3 linked regions of the Callithrix jacchus genome follow. The main gene of each other region encodes a partner of the protein of the gene in region 3 in a complex. Links are inferred from orthologs where the notes say so. Each region holds a gene or a part of one and is shown on either strand. Other genes may lie near its edges.

Region 1 (6,429 bases), about 19 Mb from region 3:
TGGCTGCCTATCTAGGAATTGGGGGAAGCAGAGGGCAGGCAAGTACAGGTGCTGTCCTTACCCCAGCACCCCAGTCCAGGCCACAGGCTCCACTGAGTCACTGAGGACTTGGGGCATATTTGAAGGTCATGGTGACCCCCAAATGGTAGGATCCCAGGTATGGCAGTGGATGGGTGGGGGAGACATTTGAGGTGGGTGGGGACAGCAGCCTTCCAGCTCAGGCAGGCCCCTTCTGTCCCACTGGTCCCAGGTTGGGCTGGGGATGAGTATGAGAAGCCAGCAGCCTGGAAGCCAGAAGAGGCAGGGAGGACTGAAAAGAAGGAAGGCTGGGGACCTTGAAGTCCAGCATCGGAGAGTTCAGCCAGAGGCAGTGGACCTGGGGGCAGAGCTGGGCTCCGGTGACATTTTCAGAGAGAGGCAGGGCCCTCAGGCTGGACCACTGGGGAAATAAGAGCAGACGGAAGAGGCTGGAGCATTGAGTAGGGGGAACAGAGCAAGGAGAGCAGTGACCACAGCAGCACAGGAGACCCTGCTGGTGTGGGGACGTCCAGCGGAGACGGCGCCAGTGCCTGTCCTCACTGCCTCTCTCAGAAATAGGAACTGCTGTCCACCAGTGGCCCCAGGCCAGACCCCACAGGAACAGGTGCCAGCATAGGGCAGCAGAGTCACTCAGGGACCAGGTCAGCAAGCACCAAGGCCTTGTGCCCCTGGGGTTCCCAGGCTCTTCCTGGGGCTACTTCAAGACTTGTGGGGCCATCCTGTGATGCTCAGCCTGGAAAGGCCTGGGTAGGTGCTCAATGTTCAAACAGCAGAAGCACCTCAGTGAGTCATCTTGCACCTCCTGGCCACTACCTGAGAAAAGTCCCAGGGCAGCAGGGAGGCAGGGCTGGGCGGGGGGCCTGGTGCCGCCAGCAGCTACATCCAGCCCTAGCAGAGTAGAGGGCAGAGAGGCCGTGACTCACTGCCTGAAACGCAGAGGCCAGAACTGTCTTTGCGACACTTTCTTCTTTCCCCTGTGAATTACAGTAATACTGTTTCACCGCTTCCCAGATGACCAATCCTGCCCTCAGGCCAAAAGCCTGGCAGGGCAGTAGCTCCCTTGTTTGGGCAAAGAATGGAAAAAGACAGAGGTTAGAGGCTGCCTCCTGCCACCAGCTGGCTGTGCCGATTGAGCTACGCCCTTTAGCCATCTGGGCTTCCCTCAGTTTCCCACTACCTTGATGAGGTTAGATGATCCCTTAAAGTCCCACGTGCTCAAATGTCCTGAGCTCTGGGAAGACCTCATGCTACCCAAACCCCAAGGTAGAGCCCCAGCAGCCCTGCAGGGCCTCAGCGGAAGTCAAGGGCACACGGCTGCAGTCCTCCAGGGAAACAGGTGGGCTCAAATGTGCAGGGTCCCTGTCCTGGCTGTAACCTCAGGCAGGCTCTGAACGCTCTAAGCCTCAGACTTTCCCAAATCTGGGAAATGCAGACAAAGCCACTTTCCACAAAGGCACGATGCTGCACGGTAACAGGACTCGGCAGGTATCTCAGACCTGCGCAGCGGCCGTCGTTACTACACTGCCCCTACCACCACTCTCCACCACTCAGCCCCCTCAGGAAGGCCTCATTCCCACACTCACAGCCTGACTCTGTTTACCCTTCTATCCCAAATACTCTTCTGGGTCCCAGTCACCTGTAAATAGAGGTGAGCGGAGGTCAGCTAGACCTCAGCCTTTAGGGTTTTACAGCTCCATCTGGGGCTGGGGGCTTACCCAGCACTTTCAAATGGTAATGAATGTGGCCTTGGTGAAACGTAATCAGTCTTGGGACTAGAAGGGTAAACAAATGTGTAATTCATGAATTTGCTAATTGTCCTTCATTTTGATCTTCTGCCATTTTTCCTGGAATCTCTGCCTGACATCCATCTCGTGGCAAGGAAGCAGAGATGCCAGGAGCAGGCCAAGGAGATTGCTGGCATCCAAGGACACCTGGACTGGCCTTCCTCCCAGCTGCCCACCTCCAGCCCAGGCCTCCCTGACCCAGACATCACACAAGGCAGGAGGCCCGTGGCACTCAATCTTTTATTTTCTTAAACTGTACACAAACGTAAAATACTTTAACAGCAAGTCTATGGGAAAATTGTTTGGTTTTAAATTATTATGAAACAGAACCTAAGGGGAGCTTTATTAAATAAACATAAAGATGGGGATTTAAGGATACACACCTGCATTCTATCATAGCCATTTTTACTCTACCTTCTGGGTGTGTAAGGATAGAAAAGACACATCGAACCGAATAAACAAAATCCATTCATACCCTGAAACGTTGGCAGGCCACTCAAGGGACCGTTCAGAACGTCCACCTCACATCAGATGGCCTCACCGTCTAATAAAATTAAAACTGATCTGTTGGCCTCTTTGGTTCCAAAATTATGTATAATACATTTAACTGTATTCATTTTTTTGCTGCTATAAAAATAACTTCTTTTTTCAAATGGCAGTTTCTGACTAATCATGCAACTAAATCAGTGCAAACATTAAAAGCAATCATTCGCTTAAAAAAGAAGCAAAGGATTTCATTTCAAGTATAAAAAATATAAAAAGAGTCGTACGAGTCCAGTTTCATCTAGTGTGGGTCAACCCTTTAAATTGCATAGTTCACGTGGCACTTGGACATCTAGAGGGCGAGCGAGTTCGGTGCTCAGCCAAGGGCCACTTCTGGACACACGTGGATCGGCAAGTGCTGTGTCATGTGCCTTCAGGCAGGTCTGCAAGTGCTATGCGGGCAGGCAGGTGGGCAGGGGCCACGTCCATGGCCGGCCCTGATGGCTGGGGCCCACATGGGCAACTTCTACAAATCAGCTGAAAGCCTTCCCCATCTCTCCAAGACCAACTAAGCTGCTCCCTTCCCTCAGCCTCTGCTGAAGGGGCACCCTCCACCCTCAGCAGTTCAAGAATGCCTCCTCCCCACCGTTTCCCCCTGTGGTCTCATCCCCTTGCCTAGGGGTCATTCCCACCCCTCCCCAAAACAGTCCTAAAGGAATGTCCCCAGTGAAGGGCACAGATTGCAACTTTTTTCCTTTCCATTTAGAACAATTCAGATTTTCACTTCAAAGGTCATACCTGGTAGAAAAGTCCTTTTTCAGTTATACAACTGGCAAGGATGACCTGTCAATCGTTGGAGATCAGTTAAAGCATTAAATTTAGCCCCCTCTTCTCTCCCTCCCTCCCCACTCCAAAAAAACACACATAAGTCAAGTCAGAGGCCCAATCGACGAACAGTCACTTGCCCCTGCTCCCCGGTCTCTGATGGGTTATGTCCTTTCTGGGTCTCTTTCCCTTGGCAAGGGTGTGGGAGGACAGGCTCTCTTGGTCTTGAAGCACGAAGGATCCCAGGCTGGGGAAGAAGCAGATATTGAGCCGGAGATGTGGTGGCAGAGCAGGCCTGGTGAAAGCCACGGGGCACACACAGCCTCTGCCTGGCCGCGCTCCCCACCCTTGCATCTGCTTTTCCTCTCCGTGGCTCTCTCTCTCTCTGTGTGTGTCTCTGTCTTTGTGCTTTTATGTGTGCTCGGAAGGCGCAATTCAGAGTGGCCAGGCCAGCTGGTGGGAATGGTGGCTGCTCACCCCATTCTCTCCAACTGACAGGCATTTGTAGCTAAGCTGCCATTTGTCACCGCATCCATTTGCTGGTATCCTAGAGGCTGCTGTGTGGGTGGCAGGATGCGTCTGGCTGTGCGTGGCTACGTGTGCATTTTAAAGTATTTCATGTCAGTTGAGGGTTCTCGCTCTGGTTTTGACTGTTTGCTCTATGAAGTCGTAGAAGAATATCTCAGGCCGCACCCTGGCACCTTCTCCACAGCCCAACAGAATGACTGTGCCCAGCCCACCGTGCACCCCCGTTCCCGCGGGGGCTGGAAGAAGCCCACCCAGGACTGTCCTCCTCGCCCCAGCACCGTGCCCCCACCCTGCACTGTCAGGCACAGCCGCACTCCTCCACAATCATGTTGGGCACGTCCCGCTTGACGATGTTGTACTCATCATCAAAGTACAGCATGGACATGGTGCTCAACTTGGTGGGGATGCAGCAGGAGTTCACTGTGCCGGGGTTCAGGCCCCGCATGCGGTACTGGTTCACCACAGCCGTGTGGAAAGAGGAGGCAGAGCCGGGGACCCCTGCCAGATAGGCTGGGCAGCTGCCCTCACAGTAGTTCCCATAGTAGCCGGTGGGTGCGATGATCCAGTCATTCCAGCCGATGAGGCGGAAGTCAATGAAGAACTGTTGCCTGCAACAGAGGTTGGTCCGGCCATCGCACTCCAGGCCTCGCTTTCGAATGCGGTGCCTGCTGTCGCCCAGCCGAGCCTGCACTACCACAAAGGGCCTGTGTGACTCTTCCCCTGGGTCCACGAACACCGGCACCACGGCCAGCTCCTGGCAGCTGTCACACTGCACGTCCAGGTTGAGTCGCCGCTCGCCCCGTTCAAACAAGGCCTGGATGGCCTCTGTGAGTGGGAAGGTGTGCCAGCCGCTGCGCTTGAGGTCCACCCTCTTCTCCACCACGTTCCACCTGTCACCGTGGCCCTGCTCCTGGAAGTACACTTTGACCCGAACCTTCCGCCGGCTGCCCTTCTCCAGGACGTAGGGCAGGAGTTTCAGGTAAAGCCACAGGCTGGCCTGGACCACAAACAGGTTCTGGTTGCCTTCATTGGAGATGAAGAAGTACAGGCGGACCCGCGAGGAAGCGAGGCCATCTGCAGAAAAGGGGAAGAGCAGGCCAAGTTAACTCAAGGAGAACACGAGGCTATGGGGGAAACACACTCTCTGCTGCAGGATGCTGGAATGCAACTCGCCACACAGCTGGAAAACGTTATTAACCAGAAATACCGTTCTTGGGGCCAGGGCCTCTGACTGTAACCTGGGAGAGGCAGAGAAAATTGTTTCCCATTGAGAAACCCGGACCAGGTTGGGGCTGGAGGGTCCAGGCCTATAAAATCCTGCCTCACCTCTCCCAGGCCAGGGCTCCCTGGAGACAGGCTGTCAGGCCTCAAAGAACAACAGAAGAACTTGTCAGGGGGCCAAGATCTTAACAAGTTGTTATGGGTATCTGTGAAATCTGAAAAACAAAACCAGGATCGCAGGGGTGGGTGGTTTTAGTAGGGCTTTTTTTTTTTTTTTTTTTTTGGTTAACTTAATGCATTGCAAAATCAAGCTGAGCCACCTACCGCCTCTTTCCAGTGTTTACCTAAGTACGATCTGATCCAACCCCCAGTGGAACCTCCATTGCAAACAAGCAGCTCTACTCAGGTTTCTGACACAGGGACGTGTGCTTTGCAGGCTGCAGAGCCTGGCCCTTGTTTCCGAGTAGTTCCAAGGGACAGGACATTCAGCCTTGAAACTTGAGGTCCAATCCTTTGACAAGACTCTGGCTCCCCGTTAATGGCACGTTCAAAATCTCCAAGGAATAGGGGAGCTGGCTTGTTAATTTTCTCAATAATCCAGCTTAACAAGAAGAAAGCTGTGCCAATCAAGAGATGCCTCCCCTCTCATCCTACTTTTCCATGACCCTTCCCTCTGACAATCTACGTTTTTCTTTTCTTTTTTTATTTTTTCCACGAAGAACAAATAACGAAACTCTGTGGCCAGGGCTGGTTTTATCAAACCTCCCACCATGCCCCTCCCAAGCCCCCATCTCAGGCCTCGCCTGGCTCCTCTAATAACACTGACATCTGACTTTGAAATGGGGGAAACTGCGGCCTTAAAAGCTGGTCTTGGACGAGCTGCCTGTGACCTGAATCTGTTATTTATAAGTCAAAGAGCTGGCTCCGTGAAACGGACCAGAAATATAACAGCCCCCGCTGTCATTTTGTGCCACCGGGACCAAAAGGCCTCCTCGACCTTCCAGAATCACATTTCTAACTCTGGGCCCCAAAGCACCTTTTAATCCGAGCCCTCTAATTGCATGGCGAGCTTTCCCTGACTCACTTTAGTGGACAGCTAAAACGGCAATGCATTTCTTTCTAAGCACAAACCAGCCCCGATTGTCTCTGCTTTTCTCCACACCCGGCCATGCAAAACTTTTCATCCCTTTTCATCCCCAGGCTGCCTGCTGCCTGGGGGTGTGGGGGGGGGGCATCTGCAGCTAGGGGCACAACTGCTCCCCCACCCAGGCTCCCCGCTTGCCCCCGCCCTGACTGCACCGGGGCTTCCCCCTCTGCGACCTTCTCCGCAGTCCCCTCAGCACAAATGGGGCCGAGCTCCAGGCACAAAAGCCAGCCTGGCTCATTCAAGTCCTGAAAAGGACAGCGGAGTCGAAAGCACTTGCAGCATTTTGGCGCGGGCACATTTTTCTCCTTCTTTTAAAGTTCCGAAAGATTTTTCTCTCTCTGATTTTTATATTTAGACAGTGTTAGGGATTTGCAATCTGGGGCCTTAGGGTGGGTGGGGGGA
Region 2 (7,207 bases), on a different chromosome or scaffold from region 3:
AAATTGTGTGGGCAAGTCCCCAAATTTCCTAACCAACAAAGAGCCACCAAATGGGACATGTGGTGATTGTTCTTTTCTTGTCAGGGATGAGGACCCCATGGTGTTTTAATTTTTGTGTTTGTAGTGGGTGGAGATCCCTACATAGTTAGCTGGGCACTGGTCTTCCTAAAAGGCTTCCATATGTATCAGAGTTTGGTAACTTATAGCCTATGGGCCAAAATTAGCCTGGTACCTGCTTTTGGGTAAAGTTTTATTGGAACACAGCCTCATACATTGTTTTTGTATTGTCTATGGCTACTTTTGCACTACAATGGCAGAGTTCAATAGTCACAACAGAGAGCATATGGCCTTCAAAGCTTAAAATAGTTATTATCTGTCTGACCCTTTACAGAATAAGCTTGCTGACTTCTGTTCTCAGCAACAAAACCTGACAAGGTCAATAAGACAGCCATAAACCAAGAAGGTCACAGCAGTCGATTTTGAGTATATGGTCCTCTGTAAAGAGGAATGGGAGAAAATGAATCCTGGAACTAGAGTGGTTGCCTTAGTCTTATACCCCTAGCACTACTCTTATACCCCTAGCACCTGGCATGAAGTATGGTACATACAACTCACTCAAGAATGTTTATGAAACAACTCTGTAAAAGTCTTAGAAGCACACTTCTAATCTTAGTCTTGGAAGCATACCTCCAAATACTGTCATGTTGACTTCCTATCTGAAGTTACAGTGAGCCCAAAGCTTCTGCATACTTGTCTCAGGTAATGAGCATATAAGGAAGCCCTGAAGGCATTTGCCATCAGATTCTCAAAGGGATCCACAGCACCAAAGATGCTAAGGACCACCAATTTAGAAATTCTCTGTCATCTTTGGCAGCATTTCACCAAGTATATACTTAATTCATGATCTCAGTGAGTCCCTGTTGCAGATTATAATCTTTTAATATTTTCCTTTAACTTGCTCTGATTATTTTGCACTTATTATCTATTTTAGACTTATCCTAAGCAACATCATTCATAAAAGGAGAGATTTGAGGTGATACTTATGTGTGTTTGCTAAAATCCACATGAAATGATTTCACATAATTAATAGCTTTCTATGGGTACCACCTAAAATCATCTTACACATTGTCAGTGGGAAATGCTAACCTACTGAATGAATTTAAACTCCCTGGCATGGCTCTCAAGGTCAGCTATATCTGGGTCTTAGCCTCCAGATCAGCCATGGCTTCCATAAATGCATGGAACATTGTGATCACTCAATAATATTTGTGAACAATTGAATGGATTTGTAAACCCTTCTGTTTCAACTACATTGACATCTTTACCACCTGTCAAACATTCTTTTTTCCCCTGTAATTTTCACCTTTTCACATGTTCTTCTGACCCTTGGAAAGCCCTTTCACCTCACCTCCACCTATCCAACTCTGACATCTATAAAAGCCTCCCTTCCTTACTTCTCTTTCTGAAAGTTCCCTCCCTCCCCTCTGAATCACTTGAGCACTTTATATCTCCTTTGATCCTTGTCATTTACAACCTTGTATTTCAGTCATCTTTTTATGAATGGATTTTCCCAACTAGACTCCCATCCTCCTGGTATGAATGGCTCAAAACTCCCTTCTATGTCTCTATCCTACTATAAGGGCTTAAACAGAGGTAGTGCTTTAAAAATATTGATTAGCTGATGATTTTAGGCATCAGATTAAATTGATTTATGGGCATGACATATGACCTTAATCCATCATCAAGCTCTTAAGTCAGTGGCTTAGGATTTATTCTCCCAGTCTAAGAAGGGAGGAGACTTGTCTCCCCATGGACAGGGAACATGAGAAGACCCAAAATGGAGGAATAGGCTGGTTGTTCTACCCAGGAGAGAAGTATAGAATAAAAGCTCACTGTAGTAGGAGGAAGGCAGTAAAGCATACAAGGAAGCTTTTGGTGCTAATGGATAAATTCATGATCTTGATTGTGCTGATGATTTCAATGAATGTTTACAGAGGTCAAAACCTTTCCAATTATACACTTTAAATATGTACAATTATACTTTTATACATCAATATTTTTATATGTCTTATTTTCTATAAGTAAATTATGCCTCAATAAAACTGTTTTGAAAAAGTAAGTTCACTGGGAAGTTTTGTGAATGTGCAAATGCAGTAAGCAGTAAATGGAAGAGTTACATTTCAGGGCAAGAGAACTAATGTTTGTTGACAAATTTCTCATGCCAGGTGCTTTGCAAGCATGATCTTCTCTGGTTCTCACAATGACCCCACAATGCAGGTATTGATTCTCTACCCATTTTGCACCAGAAGAAATCAAGCCCTGATGCAGAGAACTGACTTCCCCAGATGACAAGGTGATAAAGGAACAGTGCTAGGAATTGAGGGCATGCTTTTTTCACATTGGAGGTGGCACTTTTTTCCCAAGATGAGATAGGTTTTGACTTTTTTTTTTTTTTGTCTTTGTCTCCTAGGGAGCTGCATTAAGCAGACCCAAAGAGTCAGAAAAGAGGCAATAGTAGCTAGCAAGGCATGCCCTGTGCAGTGATTTCTGTCCTCAGGCTGCACAGTTGTTTACTGGAGATGTGTTCCTGCCCTCAATAATCTCCAGGATTAATAAGTACAGTAAACTCCAGATACTGACCTGAGTTATCCAGATACTCTTTGAGAGAAGTAGGAACTGAAAACTTTTCTACTTTTCTGGGGATGCAAATAACATTTTCTCACCCATACCCTAGTTCACCTGAACCAGACACTTAGGGCTCAGTTTTGAGAAGTATTGGGGTGGGGGGGATTCTCACAGGAGGAGGTTATTCATTTTCAATTCAGACTCACCTCCAAAAGGAATCTGTAATCTCAGCTTGCCATTTCCATGAGAAAGATGTTATGAAATAGAACTTTTGGCGGCCAACTCAATTTTAAAGGCAAACAACATCTTAGGGACTAAGGAATACCCACTCAGCATTTATTCCAGCAGCTAGAATATTAAGTAACTCATTAGTAATCACTGAAGTTTGATCAGCACTTCATAGCAAATGGAGTACTTTCTTACCTGTAACCTCTTTTGAATCACTCAACTTTTTTATGCAGGTATTATTACCCCCGCTTTACAGATGAGGAAATTGAGAGTCTGAGACATGAGCTAATTATTCACAACCACTAAGCCAACCAGCTCTCAAAATTCCATATCCTGAGCTGTTTCTTCACCACTGCCTTTCTTCTTTCAAGAACATCTGGCCAATATTAATCAGAAGCCTCTTTTGTACCTGGTTAGTGACTATAATGGTATAATTGGCAAATATTAAAGAATTAGTTATTTGGACCTTCAGCTTCTATCATAGGTATCTAGATATCAGGATTTTCTTTCCCCTGATAGGATCAAATTAAGCTATTAAGAAAAAAAATTAACTCATTAGATTTAGCTACCAAATTTAAACACCTAGGAGAAGAAAACACACTTTTCTCACCAATAATTCAATCTTGTACATCACTCTTCATGAAGATGGAAATGATGAGCTGGATGATTAATGGGCCAATCACACTTCCTGGAAACTGTAAACAGTGCTTTAAGGATGTACATGACACATCAAACAACACAGCCTTAGGAAGAATCTCTAAAATATATTTCCATACTGTTTGAACATTTCTTAAACAACATCACAAAATAAAAACATCAAAAGTTTGAACAAAACACACATCACAACTTGATGTTTTTTGACTGTTTTTATTCTTTTTATTCTAAGTGGAAGTTGAGAAATTTTTTAGTTAATTAAACACCTAGGCAACCAAGGCCTATCTGGAAAATGGCAAAGATACGGCAACATTAATGCTTTGTATTACTTGGTGTTCAAATTAACATTTTTTAAAAGAACCCAATTATAATGTCAAATTGATAGGTGTTTTGTGGCTTTGGGTTGTTTGTAAAAGATGTTTGTAAGTATTTTTGAGGTTCTGAAATGACTGCATAAATAGTATAGACCAAATCGTACCTTGTTTTTGTGTATCCATATGTATTTAACATCCTTATATAGATGTATTTACCTTTACCTATATCATTCCCAGGCATTGTAAATTTACTTATTGTGTCTTGAAAAAATTCCAAGCCAAATTTCATCAGCAAAAACTTACCTTCATTCTTGAAACTCCTAATGATGTTGGCAGAGGGCATGGAGGTTCGATCTGTTGCAAATTTGTTATAGAGTTCCAGCATGTACTCTGGTGGGTCTACCTTGGCTGAATCCTCCGTGGGGATGTCAGACAGGTTTAGTGTCTTGAGAAACTCATTCTTCATGCTCTGGAGCAATGTGCTAAAGTCAACACCATCTTGCTCTGAGAAAACATCATCAAAGAGGGGCACATCTTCTTCTAGAGGAGACTGGTCTAGGCTCATGATGGGGCTGCCAGAAACCAAGTGAGCCACCAGGCAGAGAAGAGTGCACAGTGTCAGGACCGGAGAGCCCATGACTCCGCTCAAGCCCCTAGGCCAAGCCAGGAAGGTTTAGCTCTCCTGGGCTCTAAGTGGCAGTTTTATCTTGTGGGGCGTAATTGTCTCCTGTCACTGGAGACAAGTTTGGAAACTCTTCCTCTCTCTCTTCCTCCCCCTACCACTCTTCCTCTCCCCCTAAAAGTCAGGTTGCAGTAATTGGATAACAAAATCCCCTATAGGGGCCTAGCCTTTCTTATCTCCCTAGTGTAAACTTGTGCACCAGAATTTGTTTCTATCTTGTAATCCCTATTTCTTTTAATGAGCATTTTGTAAACATTTTCACATTCTGACACTGGTTGAAAGATAGGACAATTTTCTCCTTGCAAAGGCTCTGCTTCTCTTCCCTTTGATTCACTTCCTTTCAGCAGGAATGTCTAAATTCCGTTTTTATAGGCTTAGTTTCACACATACATATAATAGGTATAAGAAGCAACATAATGCACATCAGTTAATAGGTATAAGAAGCAACATAATGCACATCAGTGGTGATACATATCAATTTGAGTGGTAGGGCCTACATCCTCAAATAAATACTTCTGAAGACAGATCAAATGTCCAAACTTTCATTCAGCTATAAATGAATTTATATAAATTTTTCCAAGCATTCATTTTTAGAAACAAGAAAGTATAAACTTTATGATCCATAGTCTCTTTCCTACCTATTTGATCTGGCTAAAATGGCATTTGAAAAATAGGGCAAGTCCTTAATTATAGTGGCAACTAAAATTTAGTAGATGTTCCTACAATCAGGCATTGTACTGAGTGCTTTACGTCTATCGTCTAGCATGCTCCTGCAATAACCCTATCACTATCTCCATCACATATATGGGTCAGTAAGGTTCCATAGATTGCCAGAGGCCAAAAAGTTGTAAGATGATGGAGCCACTGTTTGAACCAAGGCAGTCTGATTCTGATGAAAAAGAAAACAGTTCACACCTTTAAACCACTTATATTTCACCAGACTAGGGCATGGGCAATAATGGTGAGAGGCCAACCCATCCCCAGATCAGCCTGGAGGCAGGAGGCAGACAGCAGTTTGCAGCTGGATGTGTACCTCAGGTCCTCCACCTGTGCAAAGAATTCTTAATATGACCAGCATCTCTGCCAACTTCGTCCTTCTGACTCAATCAGAATTGTCATCTAGAGGCTCCAGCAAAAGCTTGGTGTGATGGTTAATACTGATTGTCAACTTGATTGGATTGCAAGATGCAAAATATTGATCCTGGGTTTGTCTGTGAGGGCGTTGCCAAAGAAGATTGACATTTGAGTCAGTGGGCTGGGGAAGGCAGACCCACCCTTAATCTGGGTGGGCATCATCTAATCAGCCACCAGTGAGGCTAGAATATAAAGCAGGCAGAAAAATGTGAAAAGACTAGACTGGCCTAACCACCCAGCCTACATTTTTGTCCTGTGCTGGATGCTTCCTGCTCTCAAACATCAGATTCCAAGTTCTTCAATTTTGAGACTTGGACTGGCTCTCCTTGCTCCTCAGCTTGTGCACAGCCTATTGTGGGACCTTGTGATCGTGTGAGTTAATACTTAATAAACTCCCATATATATGTGTGTGTGTGTGTGTGTGTGTGTGTGTGTGTGTGTGTGTGTGTGTGGACGTTGAGTCAAATCTCTGTCCCTCTAGAGAACTCTGACTAATACACTTCGCAAACATTACCAGGCACACAAAAAATGCCAAATGCCTTGGTCCTAAAAATTTTTTAATGGTATAGTTGATTGTGTGTACAGATTAGGAAAGACAAATCAGGTTCATCACATTTTCCACCCTAACTAGTGACAGTAGCAGCCGTGGTACAGCCAGAGTGGCCCTGTGGACAACCCCAGGGGATGTTTCTCCCCCTGAGGTGGTAGTACTGGTATCTTTCTGACTTGCCCAGTGCGCACCCTGTTCCATTACTGATACATCCTGTGCTGTTCAGAGGGCTCTGTGGAGATACTCAGTTCACTGGAATGCTTTCTCAGTTTCTATCTTAAATTATCCTATGTTGATTCTAATTGATTAGCTACAATGTTTCCACTTGGCTTTTCCTCCAGGCTCCCTTAGGTTTCTAGTCATCTTCTGATTCTTTTTCCTCCTAAAATGTACAGTGTTACAGCCATTTTTTTATCACCATAGAAAGAACCATATTTTGTTTAGTAGCTATTAATTGTCCATTTGTTTAATAGCTGTTGATTTTGGTTTAATGTTCGATTTTGATTCAAACTTTTGCTCCCGTAGTGAAAAGACAACTGTAGACTGGAGACAGATTATATCCTGAATAGTCCCACAAGTGAGTGAGTCCAAGGGCCAGAAGCCTTCCCTCGGATGGTTTGTTTTAACATGAGGTTCCTGACAGCATACCAACAATGCCTTGTATCATGTCTTGCATCCAAGTAAGCACCCATTTATCTTTATACACACACAGATGTCAACGCACACTCCAAAACTCTGAATGTCAGGCATGTGTGTGTAACTGCCACAGGACAGCTGTGTAAGTGGAGGCACATATAACCTCTGAGCACACTGATTTCAAAGGTCATAGGGAGAGACATACATCCCACATTGCAGAGTTCTAGTTCTTGACGCTCTTGGGCATAAAAACGTTAACTGAGACTTCAGTGGCTTACCTATACTTGGTGTTAGAAAAACTAAAGGGTTAAATATTTGGATCCATGTTTATCTTTGGGGATGATTAAGAGATACAGTGGGGAAATGACTATAGCCATAGGAAAA
Region 3 (6,781 bases):
ACTGTCCCATTGGCATATTGGGTTGTAGCAGCATGGGAATTAACACTGTGGTTTCTACCTGCCACACCATTCATGGTGACTGTCACCACATGAGGTTCTGCTGCATTGATTGTATTCATCTTTGCAACTCCAGTTTCTACTTGTTTCAAGTTTGATTTGTGCTTGCTGCCAAATTTTAACCGGGGCTCCTTTGTTGAATTTTTGGTGTTTAAAGGCAAACTAGTAGGTCTCTTGGGAAGGTTCTGTTGCTTGGGGAGAGGATAGATCTGAGTAGGCAGAACATCAGGAATTAAACATGCTTGGCCATTTGCAGCCTGTGTGAAGTCCTGCTGTCCAGTTGCTTCTACTGCAAGTTTTATGAGTGGGTAAAGCAAGCTAGAACTAGTACTGCTCAGTGGGTCTGGCCCACTGAACTGTTTAAGAGAATGCTCCATCAGATTCTCGTCAGAGCTTTCCTTGAGGTTCTTATCAACTTCTTTTGGGTCTAGTTTGTTGGTCTCCAAGTCTTCTTCTGTCAGCTGTAAGCAGACAGGGGTTGGCCCAATTGATTGTGCAACATTTGTGGCATGCAGATTTGTTTCATCTGGGTATGGCATCTCAGATATAGTGGTCATGCCAGTACTTGGAGTGAGGCCTGTGGTGTTTGTGGTTGTTGTGTTGGTGGAGAGGCTGGTGACACTTGTTTCAGGGCTGGGGATTCGAGCTTGTGCTTGCTGTCGTTCATAGTTAATTGAATTTCGGTTCTTTTCCCCTATAGTCAAAGGTGTGCTGGACATAGAATGCTCAGAGGAAATATTCTTCACAATGCTGTCAGTGTGATGGATAGAGTCTTCAATGTATGAGGAGGAAGAATAATCTGGATAAGGACCAATTTTTGGCACACGCCTATTATGTGACAGGTTGCTTAAAGAAAGAAAAAAAGTGTCACATTGAGAACAGACATTTATGACAAACTGTCTCTCCAAGTTTAACACCTCTGATTTTAAAGTCTGAGCTGTTTTTCATTTTCTTCCAAACATATATTTTTCTAAAGGTTAGTTAAAAAGTCTAATCAAATAATCAAGTATCAATTAATAACTTAAGTGTTAGTTTTAGATGAATAAAGCCTACTGAAAAATTTATGTGAATCAGATATGATTTTTATAAATGTCCATTATTTTGGTTTATAAGAGTTAATTAAAAAATCTCTCCTATAGTTTTATAACATCACAAAATATCTATTTATGAACTGTATATTCATACAACCAGACATTATGTTTTATGAAAGGAAGAATCATGGCATATGTTTCTTTTTTACTTCCATAATTCTAGATGCATAGTACCTACTCAAAAGGTATGTTGTCAATTATCTTCCAATGGCCAAATGGTAAAAAGAATATAAGCTTTTAGGTTGTTCCAAAGGCCTCCATTAAGAGGCATGCCCTAGCAATGGCACATATCTTTCTGGAGTAGTCTGAGCCATTTGAGCAAAAGTCCTTGAGCCCAAGGTATAAGGAAGAATGTGATGTTCAAATAAAGAACCAAAGATTCAGAACTGCTCTCTAATTATCATGGGTTTTTCACTGTCATTGTCATTCCTTGGGAGTGACAGTTATTTATAAGGGAGATGACAGGAGGAAAAGAAGAAAGAGTTGTTAAACAGTACAAGAAAAGGAAGCTAAGGAGACATGGAGGGTAAGATTCAGTAAAATAAAACGTAGAGTTAGAGTAACTATGGGAAATCATTAGTAGAGACCGGAGATGAGAAGATGCATGGAGAAGGTCAAGCTGAATGACATGGGAGGCAAAAAAATGGCCAAATCAAGGTGGGGCATCAAGGGTTTCTTTTCTTACCATTAAAGAAAAGTTTGAAAGCATTCGAAGTAAAAGCTTTAGCTGACTTTTGAGAAAAGTATAAACACCATACTAGAGGACATGGGAAATACAGAGATGAGGGGAGATGAAAGCAGAAGACTGTCCTCAGGTATGTTGAAAGTGAGAAAACTTATGATTACAATTGCCAGTGTCTACCTTTCCTGACTTGCTGATATATAAGGTATAAGTTTATATCTGAAACTAATTTAACCTATACAAAAGTAGTACAAACCACATTTTTTACCTATGGCTAATATAAATAGCTTTCACAAATTAGAACAACAGAAAATAGGCCAGGCACAGTGGCTCACAGCCAGGCACGGTGGCTCACGCCAGCACTTTAAGAGGCCAAGGCAGGTGGATCACCAGAGGTCAGGAGTTCACGATCAGCCTGGCTAACATGGTGAAATCCCATCTCTACTAAATATACAAAATTAGTTGGGCCTGTAATTAGGTGGCTCATGCTTGTAATCCTAGCAACTGGGGAAGCTGAGGCAAGAGAATCTCTTGAACCCAGGAGGGGGAGATTGCAGTGAGCCAGGATTGCGCCACTGCACTCCAGCCTGAGTGACAGAGTGAGACTCAGTTCCCCCTCCCCCCAAAAAAGTTTCAAGAATCAAGTGTATTTTTATTTCAATTTTCGCCAGTACCGCTTTCCTGGATGCCTTTCTGAAAGTTTTAAACATGTATTAGACAAAATGACAAAGTCATAGAAAGGCTTTCTTTTCTCCCAAACATGGAACAAAGAAATACAGACGTAGAAAGTTCCAAATTGTAGTGATTTTTTTTAAAGTCTCTTTATTTAAAACCAAAAATCATAGTTCTAATAAAGGAAATGTCTTATAAAATAATATTCATGATGGAATAGAAAGACCTTTGAATTGCTTTCATGTAGTAGTAGTGTATTCTATAAGAAAGAGTATTAGATAGAAAGTCTAGAAACGGTAGCATCAGTGACAGTCGTTAGATAGGCAAGTTCACAGTTCTATTGACTTAAGGAAAAAAGCAGAGGAGGAAGGAATAATAACAACAAAGGATAAATGAGACAATTTATATAGAAGTGCTTATGAACTTTTAGTTATTAAAATGTTTTACCTTTATTATTGCAGGAAAGTTAGACCATAGAGAAATACTAAGTTCTTTCACTATATTTTTACATATAAAAAAAAATGCAGATTTCATTTTGTACTTATACCAAACAAAAATGTTCAGTAAATAGGAATACTGAAAGACAAATGATAACTTTAGATTGTACGAGGTAATCATTGAACCATTAGGCTGGTTTAACAGTATTTGTTTTCTATTCTTTGTTAGGTCTCAGTTTCTAATACTGATTGATAGATGCCACACCCCTTAGGGTCTTACCGTTCATTCTGCATAGCAGTAGACATTGGATTGACTGTTGGGCTCACAGATTTGTTTCTTTCCCAAATCATCATAAGTTCAGCCATCCTTTCCTCAGCACACTGTGCAGTAAGCCGAGCCTCTGCATCCTGGTCCCAACAGTCTTCGATTGTCTCCTTGAGTGACCTCACTGCCTGTAAGACAAAGTACATGTCAAACTGTGTGTCTTTAAAAAAAAGTATCGAGCTTTTCAGTTCACAATATGAGGTAAAAGAAAAATCAATTTCCCTAACCAGTATTTTACATACAATAACATATTTTAGGCTTCAAGGATTTGTAAAGGAACACATTCTCAAAAGGCGATGAACAAGTAAGCAAGCAAGCAAGATTTAATTTAACTCCCTGAAGAATTATTCACAAAAGTAAACAACAGTAAGTCGCAGATGTTTTTTCAAGGCCACAGGTTTATGTCATTGTTGTTAATTCACAGTTCTGTTATTTCAATCGATAGCCACTAATTCCGCCTCAAAAATAAGTTTTGAGTTTGATGGAATTTGGGGCATTTGGCTATCTTCTATCTCTAGGTGAGCTTTTCTCCTTTTCCCTTAGTTAAGAGTGCTTGGCTAGGCACAGTGGCTCACACCTATAATCCTAGCACTTTGGGAGGCTGAGGCAGGCCAATCACCTGAGGTCAGGAGTTTGAGACCAGTTTGGCTAACATGGCGAAACCCCATCTCTACTAAAAACATAAAAAAATTAGCTAGCATGGTGGTGTGCACCTGTAGTCCCAGCTACTTAGGAGGCTGAGGCAGGAGAATTGCTTAAACCTGGAAGGCAGGGGTTGCAGTGAGCCAAGATTGTGCCACTGCACTCCAGCCTGGTGACAGAGTGAGACTCTGCCTTAAAAGAAAAGAAAAAAAAAAAGAGTGCCTCATTCCAACCTTAAAATTTACAGACATGTCTTCTTTAAACTAGTTCCACAGCAGTAGTATCAAAAACAGTCCCATGCTGTAGTACTCCTATACATTAGCAATGAACAACAGTCTCTCTTTTGGGGAAAGCTAGTTTTAACTCCCTTTTTAAAAACAGACTTTGAATAGTTTGGTAGACTGTCATCTATAATCCCTTCAGACTTGTTTCAATTAAGCTTTAAGCTTTGTGCCTGCTCTGATATTTACATTTCCTGTACCTTTACTTTCTTTTTTTTTTTTTTATTTTGTAGGAAGGGAGGAAGGCAGGAAGGGAGGGAGGGAGGAAGAAAGGGAGTGAGGGAGGGAGGGAGAGAAGGGAAGGAAGGAAATCAGGCAATGAGAAAGACATTGCCAACCTGGATCTGGAGGTCTACAAGTTGATTTCTTTTTTTCTTTTTTTTTTTTGAGAGAAGGAAAGAAAAAAAAGGAGTGAAGGAGAGGAAGAAAGAGGAAGAAAAAGAGGGAGAGAGAATGGAAATGTTGCTTTATTCTAAAAAAAATGGGTATTAATAATGGCCAATCAATGTTTCATTTAAACTTATGAGTAGGTGTGATGTGGTATGGACAAGAATGTATATTTTGTGGATTTGAAGTGGGGAGCTCTATAAATATTTATTAAGTTTACTTGTTCTGGATCTGAGTTCGAGTCCTTGATATCCTTATTAATTTTCTGTCTCACTGAGTCTAAGTCTTTATGTATCTGGGTGTTAGGATCGTTAGCTTTTGTTGTTGCATTGATCCTTTTACCACTGTATCTTTGTTGCTTTAAAATCTATTTTATCCGATACAAGATCTGCAATGCCTGCTTTTTATTTATTTATTATTTATTTTTGCTCTCCATTTGGTTGGTAAATCTTTCTCCATCCCTTTGTTTTGGGTCTTTGTGTATCCTTGCATGTGAAACGGGTCTGGATGTAACATGCCGTTGGGTTTTGGCTGTGTCTTTTGATTGGGGGATTTAGTCAATTTAAATTTAGGGTTACTGCCATTTGATGTTAACTCGCTGTTTGATCCATTCGTTGGTGTAAATTCTTCTTTATGTTGGTGCTCTTTACTTTTTGGTATATTTTGAGAAAGGCTAATACTGGTTGTTTCTTTCTATGTGTAATGCTTCTTTCAGAAGCTCTTGTAAAGCAGGCCTGGTGGTAATAAAATCTCTGAGTTCTTGCTTGTTCATAAAAGATTTTATTTTTCCTTCAGTTGTGAAGTTTAGTTTGGCTGGATATGAAATTCTGGGCTGAAGGTTCTGTTCTTTGAGGATGTTGAATATTGGCCCCCACTCTCTTCTGGCTTGTAGAGTTTCTGCTGAGAGATCTGCTGTAAGTCTGACAGGCTTGCCTTTGTGGGTAACCTGACCTTTCTCTCTGGCTGCCCTTAGTAATTTCTCCTTCGTTTCAACCCTGGTGAATCTAATGATTATGTGCCTTGGGGTTGCTCTTCTTGAGGAATATCTTTGTGGTGTTCTCTGTATTACCTGGGGTTGAATATTGACCTGCTTTGCTAGTTTAGGAAAATTTTCCTGAATAATATCCTGAAGGGTATTTTCCAGCTTGGATTCATTCTCTCCGTCGCATTCAGGTACACCTATCAAACGTAAATTTGGTCTTTTCACATAGTCCCACATTTCTTGGAGACTTTGTTCATTCCTTTTTATCCTTTTTTCTCTAATCTTTTCTTCACATTTTATTTCATTAAGTTGGACTTTGACCTCTGATATCCCTTCTTCTGCCTGAACAATTCGAGTGTTTAAACCTGTGCATACTTCTCGGAGTTCCTGTATTGTATTCTTCAGTTCCATTAATTCATTCATACTCCTCTCTAAGTTGTCTATTCTCAATAGGATTTCATCAAACCTTTTTTCAAAGTTCCTAGTTTCTTTACATTGGGCTACAACATGTTCTTTTAACTCACCGAAGTTTGTTATTATCCATTCCTTGATGAGTACTTCTGTCATCATTGGGATGTGCTCGTTCTCCATCAAGCCTTGTTCCATTGTTGATGTGGAACTGTGATCATCTTTAGAGGGAGAGGCATTCTGACTTTGAGTATTCTCAGCTTTTTTACGCTGGTTTCTTCCCGTCATTGTAAATTTATCCTCCTGTCGTCTTTGAATTTACCAACTTTCAGATTAGGTCTCTTGAGTGGACGTCCAGGTTGTTAGTTCCCAGGGCCAGAGCAGCGTCGTTAAAACTGATGGTGCTTTTCTTCCCAGGATTCTCCTGTCGGGCTTCCTTCTTGTGTCCGTAGTAGGTGACTCTGCCTTCCCGGGGCTCCAAACCTCGGTCAGAAGGGGAACCGTTTACTCTGCGCCGAGCGCTGCCACGCCGAGGTGCCATCACAGCCTCTACACCGGGCTCTGGTGTTGTGCTGGGGACCTGTGCGGGTCCTCCAAACCTGTTTACTCTGCTCTGAGAGCTGCCGAGCCAAGGTGCCGGCCGGAACCGCTGTGCCGGCCACGAGAGTTGCGCTGGCGACCCGTGTGTTTCCTCCACTGGGGATCAGTCGCTCGGTGAACGACCAGAATTTGTCTGAAAGTGTGGCGTCCTCTAGTTCTCAGCGCCTTCACTGAGAGGTGCAATCCCGGGATGTTAGCAATCGGCCATCTTGGATCG

Evidence for each region.
Region 1: the proteins of BMPR2 (region 3) and INHBB are in contact, whole or in part, in a crystal structure (PDB 7U5O), measured with the Homo sapiens proteins. The link is inferred for Callithrix jacchus from reciprocal best matches to the Homo sapiens genes BMPR2 and INHBB. Residues at the interface, in NP_001195.2 of Homo sapiens: Tyr40, Tyr67, Leu69, Val80, Lys81, Trp85, Ser86, His87, Ile88, Gly89, Asp90, Gln92, Ile108, Gln109, Tyr113, Phe115; in NP_002184.2 of Homo sapiens: Phe309, Asn318, Asp319, Ile322, Ala323, Pro324, Gly326, Tyr327, Tyr328, Thr379, Met380, Ser381, Met382, Leu383, Phe385, Asp386, Asn390, Ile391, Val392, Lys393, Asp395, Ile400.
Region 2: the proteins of BMPR2 (region 3) and BMP10 are in contact, whole or in part, in a crystal structure (PDB 7PPA), measured with the Homo sapiens proteins. The link is inferred for Callithrix jacchus from reciprocal best matches to the Homo sapiens genes BMPR2 and BMP10. Residues at the interface, in NP_001195.2 of Homo sapiens: Asp38, Ser64, Tyr67, Leu69, Lys81, Cys84, Trp85, Ser86, Ile88, Gly89, Asp90, Pro91, Gln92, Glu93, Thr103, Thr104, Pro105, Pro106, Ile108, Tyr113, Phe115; in NP_055297.1 of Homo sapiens: Tyr329, Lys333, Asp338, Ser339, Trp340, Ile342, Ala343, Pro344, Pro345, Gly346, Tyr347, Glu348, Glu395, Pro396, Ile397, Ser398, Ile399, Leu400, Leu402, Val407, Tyr409, Phe411, Ala417.

Annotation. Positions count from the first base shown.
Region 1 is NC_133507.1:104,927,159-104,933,587, reverse strand, and holds the end of INHBB (inhibin beta B chain), read right to left. Parts: intron 4,734-6,429; coding exon 3,958-4,733; 3' UTR 2,045-3,957; downstream 1-2,044. UniProt on the Homo sapiens protein: Inhibins and activins inhibit and activate, respectively, the secretion of follitropin by the pituitary gland.
Region 2 is NC_133515.1:45,061,448-45,068,654, reverse strand, and holds the start of BMP10 (bone morphogenetic protein 10), read right to left. Parts: upstream 4,497-7,207; 5' UTR 4,459-4,496; coding exon 4,125-4,458; intron 1-4,124. UniProt on the Homo sapiens protein: Required for maintaining the proliferative activity of embryonic cardiomyocytes by preventing premature activation of the negative cell cycle regulator CDKN1C/p57KIP and maintaining the required expression levels of cardiogenic factors such as MEF2C and NKX2-5.
Region 3 is NC_133507.1:123,697,695-123,704,475, reverse strand, and holds part of BMPR2 (bone morphogenetic protein receptor type-2), read right to left. Parts: intron 3,393-6,781; coding exon 3,220-3,392; intron 904-3,219; coding exon 1-903. UniProt on the Homo sapiens protein: On ligand binding, forms a receptor complex consisting of two type II and two type I transmembrane serine/threonine kinases.